Callithrix jacchus: one gene and its partners. The protein of the gene in region 1 purifies or fractionates together with the protein of each later gene. This does not show direct contact. Links are inferred from orthologs where the notes say so. Each region holds a gene or a part of one and is shown in the gene's direction. Other genes may lie near its edges.

The links.
Region 2: the proteins of NUP214 (region 1) and RAN purify together in Homo sapiens (affinity purification with mass spectrometry; 3 studies listed by BioGRID and IntAct, counting the BioPlex papers as one, with this or other methods). This does not show direct contact. The link is inferred for Callithrix jacchus from reciprocal best matches to the Homo sapiens genes NUP214 and RAN.
Region 3: the proteins of NUP214 (region 1) and XPO1 purify together in Homo sapiens (affinity purification with western blotting; 4 studies listed by BioGRID and IntAct, with this or other methods). This does not show direct contact. The link is inferred for Callithrix jacchus from reciprocal best matches to the Homo sapiens genes NUP214 and XPO1.
Region 4: the proteins of NUP214 (region 1) and NUP88 purify together in Homo sapiens (affinity purification with mass spectrometry; 6 studies listed by BioGRID and IntAct, counting the BioPlex papers as one, with this or other methods). This does not show direct contact. The link is inferred for Callithrix jacchus from reciprocal best matches to the Homo sapiens genes NUP214 and NUP88.
Region 5: the proteins of NUP214 (region 1) and NUP62 purify together in Homo sapiens (affinity purification with mass spectrometry; 5 studies listed by BioGRID and IntAct, with this or other methods). This does not show direct contact. The link is inferred for Callithrix jacchus from reciprocal best matches to the Homo sapiens genes NUP214 and NUP62.

The regions. Positions count from the first base shown.
Region 1 is NC_133502.1:179,780,761-179,784,277, forward strand, and holds part of NUP214 (nuclear pore complex protein Nup214), read left to right. Parts: intron 1-98; coding exon 99-250; intron 251-1,208; coding exon 1,209-1,407; intron 1,408-2,787; coding exon 2,788-2,858; intron 2,859-3,517. UniProt on the Homo sapiens protein: Part of the nuclear pore complex. Has a critical role in nucleocytoplasmic transport.
Region 2 is NC_133510.1:134,087,328-134,091,620, forward strand, and holds the start of RAN (GTP-binding nuclear protein Ran), read left to right. Parts: upstream 1-1,477; 5' UTR 1,478-1,508; intron 1,509-1,969; 5' UTR 1,970-1,979; coding exon 1,980-2,015; intron 2,016-2,195; coding exon 2,196-2,280; intron 2,281-2,362; coding exon 2,363-2,488; intron 2,489-3,941; coding exon 3,942-4,129; intron 4,130-4,293. UniProt on the Homo sapiens protein: GTPase involved in nucleocytoplasmic transport, participating both to the import and the export from the nucleus of proteins and RNAs. Switches between a cytoplasmic GDP- and a nuclear GTP-bound state by nucleotide exchange and GTP hydrolysis.
Region 3 is NC_133515.1:52,624,315-52,627,831, forward strand, and holds part of XPO1 (exportin-1), read left to right. Parts: intron 1-420; coding exon 421-602; intron 603-1,243; coding exon 1,244-1,292; intron 1,293-1,367; coding exon 1,368-1,487; intron 1,488-2,886; exon of another isoform or gene 2,887-2,991; intron 2,992-3,517. UniProt on the Homo sapiens protein: Mediates the nuclear export of cellular proteins (cargos) bearing a leucine-rich nuclear export signal (NES) and of RNAs.
Region 4 is NC_133506.1:106,916,806-106,920,265, reverse strand, and holds the end of NUP88 (nuclear pore complex protein Nup88), read left to right. Parts: intron 1-334; coding exon 335-493; intron 494-1,088; coding exon 1,089-1,214; intron 1,215-1,322; coding exon 1,323-1,388; intron 1,389-1,525; coding exon 1,526-1,606; intron 1,607-1,881; coding exon 1,882-2,008; intron 2,009-2,164; coding exon 2,165-2,283; intron 2,284-2,715; coding exon 2,716-2,779; 3' UTR 2,780-2,955; downstream 2,956-3,460. UniProt on the Homo sapiens protein: Component of nuclear pore complex.
Region 5 is NC_133523.1:43,685,947-43,688,630, reverse strand, and holds part of NUP62 (nuclear pore glycoprotein p62), read left to right. Parts: intron 1-1,845; 5' UTR 1,846-1,909; coding exon 1,910-2,684. UniProt on the Homo sapiens protein: Essential component of the nuclear pore complex. The N-terminal is probably involved in nucleocytoplasmic transport.

The DNA.
Region 1 (3,517 bases):
AGATGCAAATATATTTTTTCACATTGACCTGGTTAGAGGTTGTGGCTTTATGCTTAGAACATACTGTTTTTTTGCTTTGTATTTTTTTGTTTTCATAGTTGATAAAGTCCAAGGCTTGCTAGTTCCTATGAAATTCCCAATCCATCACCTGGCCTTGAGCTGTGATAACCTCACACTCTCTGTGTGCATGATGTCCGGTGAATATGGTTCCATTATTGCTTTTTTTGATGTTCGCACATTCTCCAATGAGGTAAGCTACTTTTATACTGTGATATCAACGTGAGAACCCTAAGCAGATTTCCCTGTGTTGAATTATAACTTGGAAGCTTCATAGTATAACCCTTGAAGTCTTTCTCTAGATTAAAATATGGGATTTAAAAAAAAAACACCTTAATTATAGAATCATAGATTTTTGAGACAGAAGGGACTTTAAGAAATTCTTTCATAACACTATCTGCCCCAAGGTGTTACCAGGAGACTTACATGACTTGCCCAAATTTGTAATAGATAATGTCAAAAATTCCTACACTTTGGGTCTTTAGCCTCATAATGCAATGTTCTTCCATTCCAAGCAGTTTAAGAATGATAATAGTAATAGTGTGTCAGACTCTGTACTAAGTGCTTTATATGTCTTGTCCCTTGTTCATGCCTACCACTGCCTTATGTAGTAGGTACTATTATCTTCATTTTATAGGTAGAGAAAGAGGCTCAGAGTTTAAGTAACTGTCCAAGGTCCTAACACTGTTAAGCAGAGCCAAGATTTTAATCTCATGTCTGCTATTTATTGGTTATTTTGCATTTGTGCATTCCCCTGCTGAGAGTCTCCCTGAACATGTTAGGATAACTGATTGCTGGCTGAGTGTGGTGGCTGACGCCTGTAATCCCAGCACTTTGAGGGGCTGAGGCAGGAGAACCACTTGAACTCGGGTGGTAGAGGTTGCAGTGAGCCAGGATTGCGCCACTGCACTCCAGCCTGGGTGACAGATGGAGATCCTGTCTCAAAAAAATGAATAATTGATTGCCATTTTCTAAGTTGTGTTAAAACTGTCTATAGCAAATAGATATATAAAGCTAAGTCTTTTTTTATGGTTATGGAGAAAAACTAATTTGAGATAACTTGTATATTCGGTAATTTCCATAGAATATTAAATGTCTCTGCATTTACTAATTTGTTAACTTATTCCACTTTTGCATATTTGTTTTAAAAGGCTAAACAGCAGAAACGCCCATTTGCCTATCATAAGCTTTTGAAAGATGCAGGAGGCATGGTGATTGATATGAAGTGGAATCCCACTGTCCCCTCCATGGTGGCAGTTTGTCTGGCTGATGGTAGTATTGCTGTCCTGCAAGTCACAGAAACAGTGAAAGTGTGTGCAACACTTCCTTCTACAGTAGCAGTAACCTCTGGTGAGTAACAAAGGCTCTCACACTGTAACATACAATAATGGCAGTCTACTTAAGAATTGATTTCTAGAAGTAAAAGTGGATAGCTTTTCGTCTTGTGTGTGTGTGTGTGTGTGTGTGTGTGTGTGTGTGTGGTTTTGTTTTTTGTTTTTTTAAACATGACAGGAGGTTAAGAGTGGAGGGTTTTTTGTGGAACTTTGAAAAAATAACCATTAAAAAAAAGAAAACAAAAAAAAAGAGTGGAGGTTTTTTTGGTTTTGGAGACAGTCTCACTCTGTCACCCAGGCTGGAGTGCAGTGGCATGATCTTGGCTCACTGCAGCCTTTACCTCCTGGGTCCAAGCAATTCTTGTGTCTTGGCTACCAAAAAGCTGGGATTATAGGCCTGTGCCACCATACCCAGCTAATTTTTTGTATTTTTTTGTAGAAACAGGGTTTCACCATGTTGGCCAGGCTGGTCTCAAACTCCTGACCTCAAATGATTTGCCCTCCTCCGCCTCCCATTACAGGTGTGAGTTGCTGCACCTGGCTAAGAGTATTCTTTATTCCCATACTTACTGTCCTTGAAGCCAAACAGCATACATAATTTAACCTGAATATACTTGGGTTTTGGAGAAATCTTTTGGTATAGCTGGTTTGAAACTGTTTTTGAGAATAATTGCTTCTGGATCTATAATGGTGATACTCCAAAAGTCACTTGTACCTTCATGGGGAGAGGCATTTGGAATATCAAATAGGAGCAGGAGAATGATTTCTTTCTTTCTTTTTTTTTAGACAGAGTCTGACTCTGTCACCCAGGCTGGAGTGCAGTGGCATGATCTTGGCTCACTGCAGCCTCCACCTCGCAGATCCAAGTGATTCTCGTGATTCTCCTGCCTCAGCCTCCAGTTTAACTGGGATTACAGGTGCATACCACCTTGCCCAGCTAATTTTTGTATTTTTTTAGTAAAGACATGGTTTCTCCATGTTGGCCAGGCTGGTCTTGAACTTCTGACCTCAGGTGATCATCTGCCTTGACTTCCCAAAGTGTTGGGATTACAGGCGTGATCAACCACGCCCAGCCAATGATTTCTTGATGTTTGGAAACCTTCTGTGTTCTCCTTGTCTTATCTAAAGACTACAGAGTTTTCTGTATTTTGCAGCTTTCTGGGCAGTAATTTATTGAAAAAGCATTTTTAGCTTTCAATTCAATAGCCCAGTGATAAATCAGTTGGCTTATATCCTTAAAATAATTTTACTTTTTTCCATTTTGTCGGGTGGGGATGATCCTACAATCTTCCATGGACTGACAGAGGAATGAGAAGTGATAATTAGCTGTGTGTGATAGATCTCATTGGTTTGCTCCATTTTCTTGTTTTTATTTGGTAACATTGTCTTTGCTCAGTGTGCTGGAGCCCCAAAGGAAAGCAGCTGGCAGTGGGAAAACAGAATGGAACTGTGGTCCAGTATCTTCCTGTAAGTTCATATCTTGAACTTTAGAATTTTTCTTAAGTCACCCACTTTTTTGGGGGTGGTTTCGGAGTATTGTTCTTGTTTTTCCTATTAAAAAGTAATGCTCATTGTAACAAATCCATCAGTGAATGAAGAGTGGAACCTCTTCCCTTCTCTCCCATAGTCCTCCCTCCAGAGGCACCCACTATGTTGTATAGACTAGGTGGCCTTCCAGGCTTTTCTGGATGTTATACAAACAATCTGTGTGTAGCTGCATTTTTTGTTTTGTTTTTTATGTAAAACATGATCATACTCTGTACTGTTCCCAACTTAATATTTTCAGTCCATTCCATAAAAACATAGCTTAAAGGCAAAGAGTTAGTGAAAAAGCTATGACAACCGTGCAGAATCACTCTGGGTTAAAGCACAGTATTTGTCTTTTAATTGAATCCATCTTAAAGAATTCGTTTCTCTAACTGTGGGCATCAAAGAAAATGGATACTCGTGTTGTTGCATGTGCCCTCTATCATCCTCCCTGTGATGTTCTTGAGATAATATTTGCAAATATCTTTCGATATCAATTGAGTTGCAAGGAACCCACATATGTCTATTGAGCCTGGACATGAAGGAGGGAGTCACAGGTGGCGCCAAGGCCTTTGTTGTGCCTTCTTCCCCGAGACTGT
Region 2 (4,293 bases), on another chromosome or scaffold:
TTCCCTTCAGGGCCTCTCCCTAGAAACGGAAATCCAGGGTCACAAGCAGCGGGCATTCCCGTTTTGCTGTTAGATTCTGCTCTCCCACCAGCAGCGTCTGAGAGGTGGCTGGCGTTCCCGAGGGTCCCTGGACTTGCGTTTCCAGCTGGCCGGTTCTCGCGCGCCTTGTGCGCACTTTGCGTCACTGGGGTTCCCAGCGGACTCGCCTGCAAGTGTGCTCGTGACTGCTGGGCGGACCCCTGGGTCCCTGGGGCTCTTTCCCCACGGGGAACTCTTTTCTGAGGTGCTTGACTGCGCTGATTTGGGCCTTTATCTGTCTGCATGTCAGCAGGGGCGCCCAGGAAGGACCCGTGGGTCGGGGTCCCTCTAGCTCAACCTGGCCTAGGCTCTTCACAGCTTCAGCTCCACAGGGGGCCGGGAGCTTGGGCACTTCCTCATTCCGCCCCCGAGGGTAACTACGGCTGGAAGACCCGCCCACACCGCAAACGAAATTTCATCGTTTTGTTTGTAGGATGCGGCCGCCATGGCTGCCGACCTATGAAACGCTCCGAGAAGGGGTGCTATGGCCGGGCGCGGTGACTGCATCTGCAATCCCAGCGCCTTGGGACGCCGAAGAGGGCGGATCCCTTGAGGCCAGACTGGGAGACACAGTGAGATCCTGTGTCTCAATTAAGACAAACAAAATCAGCCCGGATGTAGCGCGCGCTTGTAGTCCCAGCTACTCGGAGGCCGAGACGGGAAGACTGCGTGAGCCTGGCAGTTCCAGACCAGCCTGGGCCATACAGCGGGACTCCGTCTCAAAAGAAATAAGCACCCGTGTTTCTGGGTGGGCGCATCCCTCTCTGATGCCTCGCTCTCCAACTGTCCCTGGGCCTGGGGGCGTGAAGGCTAAGCTCTGGGGAGACAAAGGCGCGGGCTGACCCTGGGGGACCGGCCTAGGACCCATTCATTCATTCATTCGTTCTGTCACCTACCGGTCCTGCGCCGGCCTATGCCCCAAAGACCCCAAGTACCCTCACTCCACGGGGCGCAGACAACGACAGGCTGGCCAGCGCCTGGAAGCCGCGTGCCTGACCGCGTCTGCCCGAGCGAATCCCGCCTCCCGCCGGGGAGGCCGCAGGGCCGCGCCTGTCCCGCCGCGCCCAGCATCTCCCGGCCAGGAGCGCGCCGCCTCACCAGTGGCGCATGCGTGCCCGGGAGCCCGCCCTGAGTGTTGGCGCACATGGGGCCCGCGGGTCGGCGTGCGTGCGCGCTCCCGCCTCGTCCTCCCACGCGGTCCACCGCGCCTACCGCCCCACCCTGCGCTCCACCGAGCCGGGTTGCGTGCGTGCGCGCACGCGCGGTCCACGTGGGCGGGCACCGGACCGTTGCTCCGCCCCTTGTCAGCCCCGCCCCGCGCCTGCCCCGCCCCTGCCGCGCGCCGGCGTCGGCTGCGTCTCAGGCGTTTGAATTGCGCTTCCGCCATCTTTCCAGCCTCAGTCGGACGGGCGCGGAGACGCTTCTGGAAGGTAACGACGCGGCTGGCCGGGCAGGGCCGGGGTGGGGGGGACAGGGGCCGTGGCGGCGGGACAGGGGCCGCGGCCGGGGTCAGGGCCCGGGCTGGTGGCCGGCCCCGGGGCAGCGAGCGGCTGTGAGTAGGTGGGTGGCGCGGGCCGGGCCGGGCCGGGGGAAGAAACGGGCGTGGGGTCGGCGCCCGCCCCCGCGAATCCCGGTTCCATCCCGCGCTCCCATCCCGCTCCCGGTCCCAGTCTCGTCTCCATCCCGGCCCCCCCGTCCGTCGTTCCTTGGGTCCCGCTGCCCCGGATGCCGGCCCCGCCCGCCGCCTTCCCGCTCCCAGGCCCGGCCGCCATGGCGCCGCGGGCGGGAGGCCTTTGTGGGGCGGGCACGTGGGGCGCGGGGGGCGCGGGAGCGGGGCCGCCATGGGCTGCGGGGCCGCGCGAGCGCTCGTCTCCGTCCTCTGCCTCCGCAGGAACGCCGCGATGGCTGCGCAGGGAGAGCCCCAGGTCCAGTTTAAAGTAGGTAACCCTGCGGGGCGGGCGGCGGCCGGGCCGGCCCGCGTGCGCCTCGCGGTCCCTCCTCCCGGGCCCACGATGGCTGTTAGCCGGGCCCCGCGTCCGCGTTCTTGGCGTGGCGGACTCTGGGATCCGGAGAGGTGAAGTGTTCTGGGTTTACTTCCAAAATGTGTTCTCCAACAGCTTGTATTGGTTGGTGACGGTGGTACCGGAAAAACGACCTTCGTGAAACGTCATCTGACTGGTGAATTTGAGAAGAAGTATGTAGGTATGTGCGGGAGCACCTTGTTCGCGGACACGGGTGGGAAACGGGTCAATGCGCCCACTCACTGGCATCGCTTCCGTCGCAGCCACCTTGGGTGTTGAGGTTCATCCCCTGGTGTTCCACACTAACAGAGGACCTATTAAGTTCAATGTGTGGGACACGGCCGGCCAGGAGAAATTCGGCGGACTGAGAGATGGCTACTATATCCAAGGTAAGCATCCGTGACTTGCTGAACCGTTGCTGAGAGCTTTTGTGTACTGCATCCTTCAAGGTTATAGAAAATCAGGCCGGTTCCGGCAAACAGTGCTTAATACTGTTAGGGGAACTGTGTCATTTTTGGGTTAAAAAACGTGAGCTTCGGGGAGCTGACCACCATTTTGGTGGCAGAGGAGAACATTTTATGCAAGTTGTGTTATTTGCATGCTGTGTCATGCTAGGCATGGTTTAGAAGAAACTGTGACTTACACTGGGTACATGTCATAGTTTAAAACAATCACAGACAGGCTGTTAGAGCAGTTCAGTATATGAAAACAGGCTCAGGTATGAATTTAGACGTAGTGATCAATGATTGTTTGTACTCCATTAAAAAACACCAGGGAAGATAGGGATCTTAGCAAGTGTTATGCAAGACTAGGTGATTTCTTGTTACATTGTTTGTACTAAGTTGCGGAGAGTATTTTTCTCAAATAGATTGATTTTTAAAATTGCAAGGAAGACGTTCATTATACCAAAAAGAGGAGTAAAGGAAATACTCATCTCTCCTGGATCCTCACTTTGCTGATAACAAATTATTTGGAATCATTCCATGCCTTTTGTTTTCCTTTAGTATGTACAAATAAACACAAGAATTTCCCCCCAAAAATCTTTTAACCAAAAAGTTGTGGATTCTTGCTTTATCAACTATGCCATAGCTGGCCCTGCAGGTGAATATATAGACTTTATTTGGGTTTGTTATTATTTTTTGAAACAGGGTCTCTATGTGGCCCAGCCCAGAGTGCAGTGGTGTGATCTCAGTTCACTGCAGCTTCTGCCTCCTGAGCCAAGCTGTCCTCCCACTTCAGCCTCCTGAGTAGTTGGGACTACAGGCACAGGCCACTATACCTGACCAATTTTTGTATTTTATTTATTTTTATTTTTATTTTTTGTAGAGATGGGGATTCATCATGTTGCCCATGCTGATCTCGAACTCATGAGCTCAGGTGATCACCCACCTCGGCCTCTCAAAGTGCTGGGATTACAGGCATGAGCCACATCGCTTGGCCTGTCTGGATTTAAGACAGGAATATTTCCTGGTATAGTCAGCCATGCCATTGAAAGACCTTCTGAAGAAGGTGTTTGCAGGCCCCTTACCCTCAGAATATGGCAGCTCGGTTCTGCAGAATCTCACTTATCATTAATCTACCCGAGATACTTTTTGGGATGAGGGTACTGTTAATGATGAAGTGTATCAGGGAGGTTTGACGGGGTCAGCTCATCTTGCTTAGGAAGAATTGTGAATTAACATTTTTAGAAATTGCGAATTGACATTTTTAGAATTGGAAGTGAAGGGAGAAAGCTAGGAGACTCGGTGAGGTCTAAGACCAGATGAATCCTAGACTGGTTCTTGGCATTCTTCATGTGTGTAGTAAACTAAGTGTACTAACTACCACAAATGTTCCTTTCAGCCCAGTGTGCCATCATAATGTTCGATGTAACATCCAGAGTTACTTACAAGAACGTGCCTAACTGGCATAGAGATCTGGTGCGAGTGTGTGAGAACATCCCCATCGTGTTATGTGGCAACAAAGTGGACATTAAGGACAGGAAAGTGAAGGCAAAATCCATTGTCTTCCACCGAAAGAAGAATCTTCAGGTGTGTGAAAATTAAAACTTCCTGAGTTATTTCTCTTAGAGGAGATGATACGTAAGACCATGAAATTGACCAGTCTATATTATATATGGAAATAATTTTATTTTTATGCTATTTTTATTGTTTTTAAAGACTGATAGAGATGGGGTTTCACTGTTGTCAGGGTT
Region 3 (3,517 bases), on another chromosome or scaffold:
CAAGCCTGTAATCCCAGCACTTTGGGAGGCCAAGTCGGGTGGATCACAAGTTCAACAGATCGAGACCATCCTGGTCAACATGGTGAGACACCCGTCTCTACTAAAAATACAAAAAAATTAGCTGGGCATGGTGGCGTGTGCCTGTAATCCCAGCTACTCAGGAGGCTGAGGCAGGAGAATTGCCTGAACCCAGGAGGCGGAGGTTGCAGTGAGCCGAGATCGCGCCATTGCACTCCAGCCTGGGTAACGAGCAAAATTCCGTCTCAAAAAAAATAATAATAATAAAATAAAATAAAGGAGGAGAAAATGAAAAGTGGTTGGTCCTTACTGCTGCTTTTATCCATTAAACAATTTCTTTGAAGGTTGTTTTATTTGCATTTGATAAAGGAAGTGCGATTAACATTTCATGTCTTATTTTAGATACTGAAACAAGAGTGGCCAAAACATTGGCCAACTTTTATTAGCGATATCGTTGGAGCAAGTAGGACCAGCGAAAGTCTCTGTCAAAATAATATGGTGATTCTTAAACTCTTGAGCGAAGAAGTATTTGATTTTTCTAGTGGACAGATAACCCAAGTCAAATCTAAGCATTTAAAAGACAGGCAAGTAATAATTATGTTTTAGAATTTTAAAGTAATTTCTCAAACAATTTCAAGCAATTTGAATGTATATTGTAGGTATTTTAAGGAACCATGATCAGTAATACGTTCAATTGTTTATACTGGTTTTCAACTACAAATTAAGAAATAGTCCTAGATTGGGTCTATAACTACCTCTGGAGGTTGAAAAGTGGATTGTTCTGAGATACACTTCAGGATTTGATTTGTATGATAACTAATTAATAGGTTCTAAGCAAATGATTCGTGTCCAAACATTCAAGTTAGTTATTTTATGAGACAAGTCTCACTCTGTTACCTGGGCTGGAGTTCAGTGGCTCAATGTTTAAATAGAAGATAATTTTGCTGAGAGAGAGCAGATAAATATAGTCACATCTTTAATTACCAGATGGTTGAAATTTTCATCTTTTTTTTTTTTTTCCTTTGAGAGATGGGGTCTTGCTAGGTTGCCCAGGCTGGTCTTGATCTCCTGGGCTCAAGCAATTCTCCTGCCATGGTCTTCTAAAATTCTGGGATTACAGGCATGAGCTACTGTACTGGGTCTTAATCATTTTTATTAGTATTGTACATAACTGTTAATTTATTTCTGTGTCTTCTAAAACTGATATGTATATATATTTTTTTAGCATGTGCAATGAATTCTCACAGATATTTCAACTGTGTCAGTTTGTAATGGTAAGTGTTTTTAATTTCATTTTTAAAAATAACAATAATATGTTAGCAATTATTTACAAGTATGTTTTATTGTAGGAAAATTCTCAAAATGCTCCACTTGTACATGCAACCTTGGAAACGTTGCTCAGATTCCTGAACTGGATTCCACTGGGATATATTTTTGAGACCAAATTAATCAGCACATTAATTTATAAGGTACAGTGAATACAGTTAATTTGTCACTGGATAGCCACATATATTCTTTTCACATATAAAGCTCTCATATCTGCATTCAAAACCATTATTCAACCTTGGTTCTAACATGAGGAAACTGCTCAGAAGAAATGTTTCATATTTACACCTAGTAAATTCTTTGAAGTGAGTCTCAAATCTGATTCTGCCACTTGTACCATGTAATTTTATGAATTCATTTATAACAAATAATGGATTTGATTATATTGCCATATTTTTTTTTTTTTTGAGACGGAATCTCATTGTATCACCTAGGCTGGAGTACAGTGGCGCAATCTTGGCTCACTGAAACCTCTACTCACTAGTTTCCAGCAATTCTCCTGCCTCAGCCTCCCAAGTAGCTGGGATTAGAGGTGACCGCCTGTAATTCTTTGTATTTTTAGTAGAGATGGGGTTTCATCATGTAGGCAAGGCTGGTCTCAAACTCCAGACCACAGGTGATCTGCCTGCCTCAACCTCCCAAAGTGCTGGCATTACAGGCGTGAACCACTGCGTCCAGCCCTGTGTTGCCATCTATTAGTTGAATGTATAAGTTACAGTGAGGTAAGTCAAGTACTATTTGTGAAAAATGAAAAGTTAATCTTTTAACTGAGATTTAAAAATTGATACCATCTTATGTGTTCTTTAAGTTATACAATGGTTTAGCCTGCGAAACATGATGAAACCCCATATCTACAAAAAATATAAAACTTGCCGGACACAGTGGCTCATGCCTATAATTTGAGCACTTTGGGAGGCCTAGGCAGGTAGATCACAAAGTCGGAGATCGAAATCATCCTAGCTAACATGGTGAAACCTCGTTTCTACTAAAATATAAAAAATTAGCCCAGTGTGGTGGCATGCACCTATAGTCCCAGCTACTTGAGAGACTGAAGCAGAAGAATTGTTCAAACCTGGGAGGTCGAGGTTGCAGTGAGCCAGACTCACATCACTGTACTCTAGCCTGGGCAACAGAGCAAGACTCCATCTCACCAAAAAAAGGAAAAAAAAAAAACCACTTAGGTGTGGTGGTGCATGCCTGTAAGTCCCAGCTTCTTGGGAGGCTGTGGCAGGAAAATCTCAAACCCAGGAGGCAGACTGCAGTGAGACAAGATTTTGTCACTGCGCTCCAGCCTGGGTAACAGCAACACCCTGTCTCAGAAAAAAAAAATTCTACAGTGGTTCATCCGGAGATAATCACTGTTAGCAATTAGTTGTATTACATGTTCAGATGTTTTCTAAGACTGATGTAATGAATAAATTAATTGGTACATTGTAACTTAACCCCTTCAACTTTGTAGTTTAGAGTTTGGTAACATGATTTATGGTATTTGAATGATCAGTTTATTGCTCAATTAAGTTATGTAAAAATATTGGTATTGTTGTGCTCGCTTCGGCAGCACACAAACTAAAATTGGAACGATACAGAGAAGATTAGCATGGCCCCTGGGCAAGGATGGCACACATTCGTGAAGTGTTCCATATTTTTTTTATTTAAAAAAATAAATAAAAATACTGGTATTGTCACCAGTCTTACAGAGTACGTTCTTAGACATAAAAGATTATGCAGTTGTCCAAATAGTCACTTTCTTTAAATATTTTAATGTTTCAAGGTGAGATTTAGGTAAGAAAAAAATATTTTAATGTATAATTACCAGGTTATTAGCTATGTTTATTTTTAAGGTTTTAATGCCCACTAAATTCCCAAACCCGGATAATTGTTTATCTTCTCAACAATAGAATATAAAAGCCAGTTTTCCCACTTTCTTATTACTCTTAGATATAATAACCATTTTCCAAAATCCTAAGCAATCACAAGTTTTAGGTTCTGTGTAATTACACAGAAAGTATGACATTCCCAAAAGTCATGTCACAGATTCTAGGAAAGTTGTTAAGGAGTCTTGTTATTTTAGATGTCTAAGAACACATCAAAAGAAAGCAGAATTTGCTCTTAAAGCATTTAATGTGTATTGGGTAGGTAATCAAATTTCCTCTCAGTATATCTGTCAGATACA
Region 4 (3,460 bases), on another chromosome or scaffold:
TAAGTGATTTATGTTTGTGGCTCAGGCTTATAAACTGGCTCTTAAGTCCTTTGCCAGAATCCATGATGGGTTTATGTTTTTGTGCTGCCTTGATCTTTTAAAAAAATAACTTGAAATGGCAATCAGAAATGCTTTGACAGATGGGGGCATTGGAAGAGTAAGGGTGTAGCTTCCCAAAGTGACCTTTTCAAGGTGGAAAACATGCATTCTTACACTTTTACAAAAATAACACCTTATTTTTATATTCTGAAAGTTCTAGATCAGTGTGGTTTCTGCTTTTCTATAATTCAATAAATCACTCCACGGTAGACTTCAATTTACTTATATTTTGCAGAAATACAGTGCATCCAGTGTCTCCTCCTCTGCTTTGTACTCGAGAAGATGTTGAAGTGGCAGAGTCTCCCCTCCGTATTCTGGCTGAAACCCCAGATTCCTTTGAAAAGCATATTAGAAGCATTTTGCAACGTAATGTTGCCAATCCAGCATTTTTAAAGTATGCAACCTTTGGCATAGCAGTTTTATGAATGGTTTCTCTTCTGTCTTCATAATTACTGTGCATCCTTTCTGTCCTCATCTGTTTCATCTACTTTTTACTATGATGGATTTGGAAGAAACTGGATATATATTTAATCAGTTAATGAATGGGGTAGGGGAAAGTGGCACCTGAGAATGATAAATAGGAAGTGTTTAAAAATAAGTAATGCCAGGCGTAGTGGCTCATACCTGTAATCCCAGCACTTTGGGAGACCAAGGTGGCCAATCACCTGAGGTCAAAAGTTCAAGACCAGGCTGGCCAACATGGTGAAACCCCATCTCTACTAAAAATACAAAAATTAGCCAGGCATGGCGGTGGGCACCTGTAATCCCAGCTACTGGGAAGGCTGAGGCAGGAAAATCACTTGAACCTGGGAGGCAGAGGTTGCAGTGAGCTGAGATCGTACCACTGCATTCTAGTCTGGGCAACAGAATGAGACTCCATCTCAAAGAAAGAAAAAATATGAAAAGTTTGAAAAGCACCTGTGACTTGAGTCCGTTTTCAGTTGTTTTACTCAGCTAAGGAAAATAAAGGTAGAAACTTTGTTTTTAAGATCTTCTGAAAAGGACATAGCCCCTCCTCCTGAAGAATGTCTTCAGCTCATCAGCAGAGCCACCCAGGTGTTCAGAGAACAGTACATTCTTAAACAGGACTTGGCAAAGGAGGAGATTCAGCGGAGGTATGATGTCCTTTGTTCAGAAACCACTAATCCCTCACTGGTAGCCGATGCTATGTCATAGCCTAGACCTGGCTTCTGATTAAACTCTATTTCTTTTTGTTCTTGAAGGGTCAAATTATTATGTGAACAAAAAAAGAAACAACTAGAAGATCTCAATTACTGTCGAGAGGAGAGGTAAGTGTCAAAAATAAGGAGATGAAAACAGTAAGTAAGACTGGAACCATATTCTCACCCTAAGGTTCTGAGCCACATTAGTTGGTTTCAACATCAAGGTGTGGACCCCAGGAGTCTCTTGTTTCTTATGTCATTAGGAAAAGTCTGCGGGAAATGGCTGAGCGTTTAGCTGACAAATATGAGGAAGCCAAGGAAAAACAAGAGGATATCATGAACAGGTCAGTGGGCTGTGTAACATTTAGTTACCTACTCAGTACTAACAGTGATGTTTAAGAAAATGGGCATTGGCAGGTGTTTACATACCTGCAAGATTGAATCGATCCCCCTACCTTTCCTCTGAATTACATGTTGGGGAAAACATGACACTCTCCCCTAGCCCTTCCTATGGGGCCTACTTCCCAGACACCAGATTCATGAATTATGAGGTTTGTGATTATATTTCTCCTAATTAGCAGAGACCTTAAGTTGAGATGTGTCCTTGCCTTTTCTGAAGGATGAAGAAAGTACTTCACAGTTTTCACTCTCAGCTCCCAGTTCTCTCTGATAGTGAGCGAGACATGAAGAAAGAATTACAGCTAATACCTGATCAACTTCGACATTTGGGCAACACCATAAAAGAGGTAGGAATAGATGCAAAGTAGCTAAATTTGGTGATTTTTTTTTAAAGCGCTTATTCTACAGAAAATCTTACAAAAATGTAAAAAGAGCAGATTCAAAAAGACAGTGTGAAAATGTGTGGCAAACCATTGCCAGAATATCTATTTTTGATACTTAAGGTTACTATGAAAAAAGACTATCAACAGCGAAAGATGGAGAAGGTGTTGAGTCTTCAAAAACCCACCATTACTCTCAGTGCCTACCAGCGAAAGTGCATTCAGTCCGTCCTGAAGGAAGAGTAAGTAAATACTTCCAATCAGCTATCACTGAGATCGTTTTTCCTTTACAGTATACCACAATCAACCTCTGTCTTAATAGAAACCTGAATCTTGGTATTTGCATGTCATGTAATTACTGGGACGAGAGCCACATGATACATAGGGACTTAAGAAATAACTATCGTGGGAGAACTGAAAATTATGACCTTCCAATAACATGATTTTGTTGTGTGGCCAAAGGCATTTTACAATTATGTTAAAAAATATTTCCAGTACTAGCATCACTGCCATCTTAAATGAATAGTGAACACTATTGCTATCCATCTGAACCCTTCAGCTGTTAATTTTGGCAAAGCAGTTCTTAGATATTTCAACATTACCCGTTTCGATTCTTAAGAATCCATACAAATGGTTTATTCTATTTCCAAAAGTAAGTGACTACGATTTTACAGGGGTGAACACATAAGGGAAATGGTGAAGCAAATCAATGATATCCGCAATCATGTTAACTTCTGACGCCACCAGGAGTCAAGTAACACCTGAAGTGAACACCAGTGAAGACTTAAACCCATATTGTAAAACAGGGACTATTATCTCATTTATAAAAAGGCATTTTGGATGACCTTTGGTGTGGTTTTTCATCTTTTTAAATATTTTGTTTTATAATTAGCAATAAATGCTTTTATTTAAAATTGGAGGAATGTGTTTTATAACTCGAGCCTAAAGTGATATTCAGCAAGGACTCAGGATTATTTCACTCTACACTGCCAGAACCTCTCTGAGCCCTGGTGAGTGAGTTTTCTCCAGATCTGAGCAAGAATAAGAGCTGTGTTCTCAAGTAGCACCAGAAATAAGACTCTGAAGAGGGTTAGAACCCTAGGATTCAAAGGAAAAGACCACACAGTGTACTCGGCAGCAGCTTTTTTAATTTGAACACTTTCTTAAGGACAGGCCTTCAGTACAGTTAACAAATGGTTACACCTGAAGTCTGCTGAGAGCAAAGCTCAAGATCTACAACTGCAAAGGCCACTGCTGGCTCACTTCCTCACAGGCAGTATTACCTTTCAGAGCTGAGTGAGGCTGTGCTCTATGTCACAATACTTGTTGAGTGGGCATGAGGTGCAAGTTTAGCACCTTAAAGGGAGAAAAAAAACAGATTAGGATGCAGAATGTGACTTTGTTCTCAGTTCTCTAAGT
Region 5 (2,684 bases), on another chromosome or scaffold:
AATGCCAGGGCCAACATCCCAGCCCTGCAGAGACTCTTGTGTTTGAAACGCTGCCAGGCGGTGCTCATGGACACCCACTGAGATCCACTGACTTGGACACGGCAGAGCCCCATGCGGCTGGCCCCCCGGTCGTCTCCCCAGACTTGCTTGGCTGTGTGGAGGAGGAGGGGCAGATGAAACAAAAATGAGGGCCTTGAGGAAGGCAGAATGGTACAGTGGAATGGGTGGGGGTAGTGAGGCAGGTTTCCTCTGATTCAAGCTAGAAGGGGATTTCCTGAGGGCAGACACCAAGAAACTTGAAAACTGGCCTGGAGAGAGGGAAGAGGAAACAGACCTCGTGGGTGTTTCTCTGGGCCAGGCACTTGGCTTCTCAGTCGTGACTTTGTTCATTCTTTTTTTTGAGACAGGGTCTCGCTCTCTCCATTCCCAGCTTCTCGAGCTGCTTATGCCTTCCCTGGTTCCTGGCCTTCGCCATCTTCAGATTCGAAAGCGCACCACTCCGGTCTGCTTTCGGCACCAAGCTTTCCTGTCTGCCCGAGTCAGTCACATCCACCCGGGCTCTGTCTTCTAGGGACACTTCTGATCATCTTCAGGGCTCACACCTATAGTCCTAGCACTTTGGGAGGCCAAGGAGGAAGGATTGCTTGAGCCCAGGAGTTCAAGACCAGGGCAGCAGAGATCCGGTTTCTACAAAATAAAAAAAGATTAGCTGAGCATGGTGGCTTGCACCTGTAATCCCAGCTACTCTGGGAGGCTGAGGTGGGAGAATCACTTGGGCCTAGGAGGTCAAGGCTGCAGTGAGCTGTGATTGTGTCAGTGCATTACAGCTGGTATGACAGAGCAAAACCTTTTCCCAAAAGAAAAAAAGAAAATCACCGCTGTCCAGCACTCCCTCACCTCTTCCTCTCCAGGTGACCTTTGAGCTTCCCGCTGATGGATGGCGCCACTGGAGCTTTTTCAGTTTGACATTACCAAAATCCAGTCAGTTTGAACATGGAGATGCTCTGGCCCATGGGGCTTCTGGGGTGCTCTTTATCCCTCCCCGACCCATCTCTGGTGGGGCTCATGGTCTCCTGTGATGTCCCAGTGTCTGCAGATAGATGGTTGAGAACATATCCAGGGGAGGCTCAGGTGCAATCCTCTGTACCACACCTACAGGTGAAGGAGGCAGCTGCCTCCCCCAGGGGAGGCTCTGATTGGCTGGCTCAGGTCTCAGTTTATCCTTGAGCCAATCACTGCAGCCAAGGGCATCTGTGTTCTGATTGAGCACATGGGTTTCAGACACCCCCCCACCCCAAGTTAAGAGAGGGCGTTCCAGCGTCCTTGCCTGCTAGAGAGTGCAGGTGTGGGGGCCTTCAGCAGCCCAGGCTCTGCCATCTGGCCTGAGTTCCCAGCCCCATGTGTCTCTGTGAGGTCCGGAGAGGCCCTTAGGGAGGCATGAGCTGATCTGCTCACGCCCTGCTAGCGTCAGTGGGGGAATGTCACTGGGTCCCATGCTGAGAGCAGGTCCTACAGCTGTTCCTCTGTGTCCTAGTCCCACTGGTGGCAGTGCCTCACATTTCATCCCCTCCTCGGACCGAGGTGGGTCCAGGGTTCTGCTCTTCCGCCTCCGCCTCCACAGAGTGGGAGCTTCCACTGTGCTAAACGTGGCCATGCACATCCCTAGCACCCCGGCTCCTCATACCTGACCCCTGGCGCGTGCGCTGGTGCTTTCGGATCCTCCTCGGTTTAGCAGGGCCTGGTTTAGGTTACACAGGAAGAAGAGGGGTTGCGTGCCACTGAGTTTGCCTTTCCAAAACTGCCATCTGACAATGTCGCTTCCTCTGCTTTACAAATCTTCCCAAGGTTGCAGACACCGACGGATTTGCTTTCGGAGCTGGAGTAGCTGCCGCCATCAGAGTCTGGAGCCATGAGCGGGTTTAATTTTGGAGGCACTGGGGCCCCTACAGGCGGGTTCACGTTTGGCACTGCGAAGACGGCAACCACCACACCTGCCACAGGGTTTTCTTTCTCCACCTCTGGCACCGGAGGGTTTAATTTTGGGGCTCCCTCCCAAGCAGCCGCAAGTACCCCTTCCACCAGCCTTTTCTCACTTGCCACGCAGACTCCGGCCACACAGACGCCGGGCTTTAGTTTTGGAACAGCAACTCCTGCTTCCGGGGGAACTGGGTTTTCTTTGGGGACCGGTGCTTCAAAGCTAAACCTGAGCAATGCAGCTGCCACCCCAGCCATGGCAAACCCCAGCGGCTTTGGGCTGGGCAGCAGCAGCCTCACTAATGCCATGCCGAGCACCGCCACCTCCAGCCAGGGCACAGCACCCACTGGCTTTGTGTTTGGCCCCCCCACCACCTCAGTGGCTCCAGCCACCACATCGGGAGGGTTCTTGTTCACTGGTGGAAGCACGGCCCAAACCTCTGGTTTCAACATTGGCTCAGCGGGGAATTCAGCCCAGCCCACGGCACCTGCCGGGTTGTCCTTCACTCCGGCCACGCCAGCAGCCACCACAGCAGGCGCCACTCAGCCAGCTGCGCCCACACCAATGGCCACCACCACCAGTGCTGGGCCCACCCTCTTTGCCTCAATAGCAACCGCTCCAACCTCGTCCGCCACCACCGGCCTCTCCCTCTGTACCCCTGCAACCACAGCAGGAGCCCCTGCCACTGGGACACTGGGCTTCAGCTTAA